Schizosaccharomyces pombe: one gene and its partner. The protein of the gene in region 1 interacts with the protein of each later gene in a biochemical or structural test. Each region holds a gene or a part of one and is shown in the gene's direction. Other genes may lie near its edges.

Region 1 (4,957 bases):
ACCAATGTAAGGATTGTTGTTGAAATCAGTAAAAAGAACGTGAGCGAGGTCATTTGCAATTTGGATATATCCAAAAAAAAGTAGTATAAAATTAAATAAGAAAATGGGCCTAAATATTTTAACCACCAAATTCGAAAAAGTCTGTTGAAAACGTAAAATAAATAATGCCTGTTGTCTGCTAAAATAAATGGATGGAAAATTCTAAACGTTAGTTAAATTAAACAATACCAATTTAGCACGTACGTATTAAAATGCGCTATCAACAAAAGCACAGAAACGATCAAAAAAGATTTTTTAGAAAAGACTGCGGACAAAAGTTTGGAGCGTCGAGAATGGGACATTAGATATTTTATAATATAAGAGGGAAAAGAAAAGAAAAAGAAAAACCACAGAAAGTAATTTATTTGAGATAAATGAATGCTTGCTTGATGATGAGATTTGTCGCCTAAGACAATACTGCCATTCCAAAGCAAAAATGCAAGGAAGGAACAAAATACTGCACCATAGGATAGAATTGGGCACGAAAATCTTCTTAAATTTTTAAGAAAAACCCCTAAGAATGAAATTATAGTAAGAAGAACATCAGCAAAAGTTGCTTCAGCTAAGTGGGGATTGAAGAAAGACATATTGCTAGCAAAATATGTAACTGCAATAAAGACCATCCAAACGATATTTGTCTGTCGAAACCATAGAGAAAAAAAACAAGACACAGAGCTTGAAAAAGCAGACTTTCGGAGAGCAAAGTCATAAGCAAGAAGGACGAAAAAAGTACTACCAATATCAGTGTAGTATAAAAATGAGAAAAACCATAAAGGAGGTAATGACGATAACGTATAAGCGAAATAGGTAACAACATCTCCTTTCCTATTATTCAAAAGAGAAACGATATCGTTTATAAGCCATGGCAGTCCAATTACGCCTACAAGCCAGTTTATTAACCTCAGAGATACATTGCTGCAGCCTATAAATGGGCTGAGTGCGACTGAAACCAAGTATAAACCAGGAGGTGTAGTAATCGCCGGATCCCAATCCCAATCTTTTCTACAAAAGCGTTGAGCTTGTGCAATATGGAATATTTCATCCAAGTAAGGATTAGGAACATAGTATTGTATAGCTAGAAGACCTGTAAAAGCTAGAAAAATCCATAGTATTAGAATTATAGCTTTTCCAAGAAACATTGTCTGTGTTTTGGGTCTTTAATGAAAGTTTATAATAAACGAATAAAGAAAATCAGGTTTTGATAAAGGGCGCACCTTTTACAAACAGCTTTTTATGTTCGCTTGTTTTAGACCCTATAACACAATTTCCAAAACAAACGATCAACTTTTCGAAAGGTGTGAATTAAATTTCGCTGAGGTTGTTGGCAGGAAGTTTGGAATTCAAATGCTTACAATATAGCAAGAGTGGGAGAACAATGTTTTTACATCAAATTAATTGAATTTCATGATTTTATTATTAGTTATCTAGAGAAAGATAGCATTCTAAAAACCATTCAACATTATGCACACTTAAGTACGAAATGTGACGAGTCTGTTTTTTATATTTAGGCTGCTAATTGCATCATTTTTTTTTAAAAGAACTGATAACATTGAATTTCATTTAAATTTTAATACTTGATAAATTTCATAGTAATGTGGTCTAACATTATCATGTACATGAAGGCAATTAAGCGGTAATACTAACTAATTAATGAAATCTGCCTGAGGCTTTTTAACTTAATATTGGCACACAAAATTACTCGATATACTGATTACCACCAATATGAAACTAAACAATCGTCTTCCTATTGCTTGTAAGTGTAACATCTAACGTATTGTTTTTATAAAACTATTTAGACGTAGTGCTCTAAAACAAACACGATAATACATTATTAAGTAACGTATATAGAATACGCAGAGAAGCAGTTGTTATTAAAAATACTAATAACTTTCAATGTCACCGTTTAAAATTGTAAAATTGTTTTCTATAGCAATTCAAAATCTCTGAATGAGGAATATCAATGTTTTGGGTTCATGAAAGTGGTTTCATTACGCCGCATTTATAGTAGTGAGATATACAAATTGCCAACCACACGCCTTCACATGGATACCTTGTATTACTATTATTTCGTAAGCCATCTAGCTGCAGCATTATTTGTTGATTTACCTATAACTGAATGGCTTGGAGGCTCTTTAAGCTGTCTTTCTGGTTTGCGACGCTTTTATTTATCTACATATGAAGACCCTATTCTTTTAATCCCTGCGCCTTGGAAAACTGCATTGTTTTCTTCAGAACTTTTCTTTCAAGTTCCTTTTTTTATTTGGGTTTCTCTACGCTTACGAAAGAAAGCGAGGGATCCAGTTTTATGGGTTGCAATTCTCATATACGGGGTGCATGCTTTTACTACGACATGGTGCTGCATGTTCGAGTTATTTGCTGAAAAAAAATGGATGATAATGAGTTTTTATTTTCCTTATTTGGCCATTCCTTTATGGATGGCAATTGATATGGGTGGCCGATTAGTCAAGTCGTGTCATGCTGCCAAATCAGGTCCTTCCTCTACCATAACCTCAAAGAGTGATTAAGAAAACACAAAAATGAATAATTTAACACCAGAAAATATTCGTCAAACGATTTTAGCAACTCCTTTTCTATTAAATCGAATACGCACAGAGTTTCCTCAACTAGCTGCTGTCCTTAATGATCCCAATGCGTTTGCTACTACATGGCAGTCCATTAATGCTTCTCAATTATTGCAGATTCCTTCTTCTACATATTCGATGGGAATGCCTTCATTTTCTGTACGTTTAATTTCGCATAATAGCGCCCGTATAAACTGCTGAGTCCAATAATTTAGTTTTAATGGACACAATAAATAAAGGGCTTTCGAAGGTGATTTACTAACATTTTTGTAGGAAGATGACCTCTTTGATGTTGAAGTCCAACGACGTATTGAAGAGCAGATTCGTCAAAATGCCGTGACCGAGAATATGCAATCGGCAATAGAAAACCATCCTGAAGTGTTTGGTCAAGTTTATATGCTTTTTGTAAACGTTGAGATTAACGGTCATAAGGTGAAAGCATTTGTGGATTCTGGTGCTCAAGCTACCATTTTGTCTGCTGATTGCGCTGAAAAGTGCGGTCTTACCAGGCTTCTTGACACTAGATTTCAAGGTGTCGCTAAGGGCGTAGGAATGGCTAAAATATTAGGTTGTGTTCACAGTGCACCTTTAAAGATTGGCGATTTATATCTTCCATGTCGATTTACTGTTATTGAAGGTCGGGATGTTGATATGCTACTTGGTCTTGATATGTTACGCCGTTATCAAGCTTGTATAGATTTAGAAAATAACGTTCTTCGGATTCATGGAAAAGAAATTCCTTTTCTTGGAGAATCTGAAATTCCAAAATTGCTGGCTAATGTGGAGCCATCTGCAAATGCACACGGTTTAGGTATTGAACCTGCAAGTAAGGCGAGCGCTTCTTCACCTAATCCACAAAGTGGCACTCGTCTTGGTACCAAAGAAAGCGTAGCACCCAACAATGAGGGATCTTCCAATCCCCCTTCCTTGGTAAATCCTCCCACTGACCCCGGTTTGAACTCCAAAATTGCACAGCTAGTCAGTATGGGATTTGATCCATTAGAGGCTGCGCAGGCGTTAGACGCTGCGAATGGAGATTTAGATGTAGCTGCTTCTTTTCTCCTTTAACGACTTAATTCGATTTCGGGGAGATTGGATATACATAATCAATGATTTTAGTCATGATAAAAATTAGGGAAATGATTATTTTCAAGATCGGTCCTGTTCTACTATTGTAGACGAATTCTTTCAAATTAATGTGTTTTATATCATTTTTTATGTGTTTTGTATCAGAAAGTAAAAATTCTATATATATGCGTAATTGCTTAATCAAACTGAGTTTTATATTTCAAGATTAGTTTTTTCAAGTATTTGTTATTTTAATTTTACGTTCACAAAAAATGAATGTTATTTATTTTAATACTTAGAAACTTTTATGGTTTCATTGGTTTGACGTACGTAGGATGAAGTTTTCTTACAACCAAATTTAATCTTATTCCCTACTTCATGTTTAAAGTAGATTGGGACTTAGGTCCAGTAAGTAAAAGCGCATCAGACCAAACGAAAGAATCTAGAAAAGAAAAAAAAAGAAAGAAAGGTGAGAGAAAGAATGTAGGAGATAAAGGCGAAAAGCTCAACGAAAAAGTTTTAAAAAAGGCAAAGTCGGTTACCACAAACAATTCCCTGAAAAGCGAGATTAAAAAAGAAAAATCAGTCCCTTCTATTAAAGAGAAAAACAAGGGGGATGCTAAGCATACTAAGTTAACGTCTCTTCAACAAAAAATGAAAGATAAACTAGATGGTGCCAATTTTCGATGGATAAATGAACAATTGTACACTACGGAAAGTGACAAAGCTGTACAAATGTTCAAGGAAAATCCAGATTTGTTTGATATTTATCACGCTGGTTTTCGATATCAAGTTGAAGGTTGGCCGGAAAATCCTGTTGATATTTTCATTCAACATTTAAAGATCAGATTTGAGCATTCAAACGCAAAGAAGAAAAACAATATTGTAATTGCTGACCTCGGTTGCGGAGAAGCTAAAATAGCTTCTACATTTAGAAAATCACGTTCTTTGCAAGTGCACAGCTTTGACCTTGTTGCTCCCAATGAACATGTGGTAGCCTGTGATATTGCGAATGTTCCAATGGCTGACGAAACTGTCGATATTGCTGTATTTTGTTTAAGTCTTATGGGCACCAATTGGCAATCTTTTTTGAAAGAAGCTTATCGTATTCTTAAAGTCGGTGGTTTACTTTGGGTTGCTGAAATCAAAAGCAGATTCTCTGATAAGAGTGGAGAAGTTTTTGCTAAAGAACTTCCAAAATTAGGCTTTGAAACTAAGTCCATTCAGCTTCAAAACAAAATGTTTACTCTGTTTGAGTTCAAAAAAGT
Region 2 (3,677 bases), on another chromosome or scaffold:
ATAACATTGACAGGTTTTGCACTAACTTAATTAGTAAAATCGATGCGAACATTATGTTTTATATCGCTATGCTAAGACAGATTTAGTATAATAAAACAACAAAGTAAGCTTATTTTCAATGTAAAAAGAGATGCTTTTTTACTGAGGTTTCAAAGAGATTTCTTTTTCAGTGCTGATTTCGGGTTGGGATTTACCGGTGAGAATATCCTTACAACTAGGTTATTGCATAAGTAACGTCCCGGTGAATTGTTGACATTGTACGATTGTGATAACTGGGGCTGACTTAGCACATTAGCAATTAGAAAGGTAGTAAGAGATCCTCGTCTACTTATATTTTCGTATATCTTAGTAAAAACACGAAAGGATTCTACCAAGGATCAAATATACATAGCCGAATTGCTGTCCAAAAAATGGCAAGAATGTATACTTTTATTAAGTACCGGCTTTACTATTTTTAATTTACATAACTTGATAGTAGAGTTTTCAAAAATCCAAGTAACCTTAGAACCATAATCAGGAGAATTAATTATTTTAATGATCTTATTGTAAGTAACCCACCGTTTGTACGGAAACACTTATGTAAATACTAGGGATGGGTTGATACTACTTGTACAATTGTAACCTGGAACAGCTCAAAGTAGATGAGTATTCTAATATTTCAGGTTGGCGGTTAACTTATTGATTAGCAAAATATATTATACTCCGTGTGCTACATAAGAAATTAGTAGAATTCCATATGAATAAGAAATCTGCGTTTTAAAACCTAACATCTATATAAATTATTCATTAAAAAAGCATTAAACTATGCTAATTATCGCTAAGAAGCATGAGCGCAGCTTACTCCAAATTCCCAGTCACAAACCTGACCCACATCAAAAAAAAGTATAAACATCAAAATTTACAAAGAGCACATATATCGTAGACCATGGTATCTTTCGGATTATGCTTCTAATGATGATAAACAATACTTTAAGGATGTAAAACGATTTTTAATAATCGTTCGTATTGTCGACTTTTTTTTTATTTTCGTCTTTTAAATCGCACATGATTTTATAGTCTTGTCATTATTTTCTCATTCAACCACAAAGGAAAGCACATTTATGAGCAAATTTCATTCAAATATTGAAATTGGAAAAGATAATGTTGTTTAATTGTTCTTCAAATTGTGGATATCTATTTGAACGGCCTAGGACTAGAAAAATGTTAATTCCTCCTTTGTAGCGACACATCTACACTGAAATGGACAGTAACTCTGCTGATAGAAGTTAGTCGTTATCTTTCCTATTCGTACCAAGCATCTTATCTTTTAAGACATGTTTACTTTTTATTCGTTCGTTTTAAAGTACAACAATATGCTTATTTGACATGGATTTATCAACAGCTACCCAACTACCTATGCACTAGAAATATGTCTCCCAAAGTGTCTGTGCGTAAACAGATATTTATCCTATTTCATTTTGTACTGTTGCATCGTTTCCTCTCGTACTAGTCGTTTTGCAAAGCCACGTTAATGATCGATATGTTTGAATTGCAGACACCATTTCACATTGCGATAAGGGGGATTCCTGTATTTTTTTGGTCACTGACTAATTTTGACACCGAGGTGACATCATATCGTCTAGGAATCTTTGTTGCGTACACAGTAGACAACATGGCATACGAACGAATCGATGCAATGTATATTTATAAACACAACAAAAATTTGAGTGCATATGCTTCAATTTCTATACATAAATGTATTTAGAAAAAACTATCGTATTGGAGATTGTATTTAAATTTTGATTTTATGAATGAGTGAAAAATGAGGAGCAGTGGCGACGTCTATATAAAGGTGGCTTCCCCCCTTCATTACTTTGCATTTGTACACACACAATCTCTACCATGCAGATTTTCGTCAAGACATTAACTGGAAAGACTATTACATTGGAAGTTGAATCTTCCGATACCATTGACAATGTAAAGAGCAAGATTCAGGATAAGGAAGGCATTCCTCCTGATCAACAACGTCTTATTTTTGCTGGTAAGCAACTTGAAGATGGACGTACTCTTTCAGATTACAACATTCAAAAGGAGTCTACTCTTCACCTTGTTCTTCGTCTTCGTGGCGGTATGCAAATTTTTGTCAAAACCTTGACTGGTAAAACCATTACATTGGAAGTTGAGTCTTCTGACACCATTGATAACGTAAAGAGCAAGATTCAGGATAAGGAAGGCATTCCTCCTGATCAACAACGTCTTATTTTTGCTGGTAAGCAACTTGAAGATGGACGTACTCTTTCAGATTACAACATTCAAAAGGAGTCTACTCTACATCTTGTTCTTCGTCTTCGTGGCGGTATGCAAATTTTTGTCAAAACCTTGACTGGTAAAACCATTACATTGGAAGTTGAGTCTTCTGACACCATTGATAACGTAAAGAGCAAGATTCAGGATAAGGAAGGCATTCCTCCTGATCAACAACGTCTTATTTTTGCTGGTAAGCAACTTGAAGACGGACGTACTCTTTCAGATTACAACATTCAAAAGGAGTCTACTCTTCACCTTGTTCTTCGTCTTCGTGGCGGTATGCAAATTTTTGTCAAAACCTTGACTGGTAAAACCATTACATTGGAAGTTGAGTCTTCTGACACCATTGATAACGTAAAGAGCAAGATTCAGGATAAGGAAGGCATTCCTCCTGATCAACAACGTCTTATTTTTGCTGGTAAGCAACTTGAAGACGGACGTACTCTTTCAGATTACAACATTCAAAAGGAGTCTACTCTACATCTTGTTCTTCGTCTTCGTGGCGGTATGCAAATTTTTGTCAAAACCTTGACTGGTAAAACCATTACATTGGAAGTTGAGTCTTCTGACACCATTGATAACGTAAAGAGCAAGATTCAGGATAAGGAAGGCATTCCTCCTGATCAACAACGTCTTATTTTTGCTGGTAAGCAACTTGAAGATGGACGTACTCTTTCAGATTACAACATTCAAAAGGAGTCTACTCTTCACCTTGTTCTTCGTCTTCGTGGCGGTCTTTTTTAATCATCCTTTGTAATTGACTAGTTCAACTTTAACGTTTTTTCAATTGGCTGATTTAGTTATCCATAACTATACAATGCATTATAGCAATATACTATAGCTTTTTGCTTTATTTATGTTGGTATAATATTATTGACTTAATTTAGTATATTCTTAATGTGCGATCCATGTTTGTATTTATAGGCAATAGTGAGACCTGATTTCACCGATGTAAAGTGTTATAGCGTTTGATTAGGGAAGAGGTTAAATTTCGTTGAGTAGTAGCTAATTTCAGCGTTAAACTGTTGTCGTCCCTTACGTAGATAATCAAAGCTGGGCGAAGCGCCAAGCTATATTCTTCTTATTAATTATACCGAACAAGCGTTACTTAATTTATTTATTTCGACGCTTTTCTAAAGGGAATATCTTAATTATTCTATATCTCCTTTTTCCATGTCACTGAAGACTGCTCTTTCTAACTCATGGCTTACAATAAATCTCTAAAGTCTTTAGTATTTATCCTTTTGGCTTCTCAGATCGTATTTGTATTATTCCTTTGCTACGGAAAAAGTTCTAGAGAACTTGGAGTGAAATGGAATTCAGATATTCGATCTTGGATGACCAGTTACGTTGGGTTTAATGGCGAGACTGCGGCCATATCAGAAGAACAG

The links. Proteins that work in one complex are often made in the same cells at the same time.
Region 2: the proteins of mud1 (region 1) and ubi4 form a complex in vitro, tested with the Schizosaccharomyces pombe proteins (one study listed by BioGRID).

Annotation. Positions count from the first base shown.
Region 1 is NC_003424.3:1,136,554-1,141,510, forward strand, and holds mud1 (UBA domain protein Mud1), read left to right. Parts: upstream 1-2,564; 5' UTR 2,565-2,576; coding exon 2,577-2,780; exon of another isoform or gene 2,781-2,894; coding exon 2,895-3,689; 3' UTR 3,690-3,772; downstream 3,773-4,957. Other genes in the region: dolichyl-phosphate-glucose--glycolipid alpha-glucosyltransferase Alg10, read right to left, coding at 1-201, 244-1,178; protein ema19, read left to right, coding at 2,013-2,564; rRNA methyltransferase Rrp8, read left to right, coding at 4,068-4,957. UniProt on the Schizosaccharomyces pombe protein: Recognizes and binds polyubiquitin chains. Acts as a linker between the 19S proteasome and polyubiquitinated proteins via UBA domain interactions with ubiquitin for their subsequent degradation. Aspartic protease.
Region 2 is NC_003423.3:1,043,771-1,047,447, reverse strand, and holds ubi4 (protein modifier, ubiquitin), read left to right. Parts: upstream 1-1,855; 5' UTR 1,856-1,881; coding exon 1,882-3,030; 3' UTR 3,031-3,177; downstream 3,178-3,677. Other genes in the region: ecm14 (carboxypeptidase), read left to right, coding at 3,489-3,677.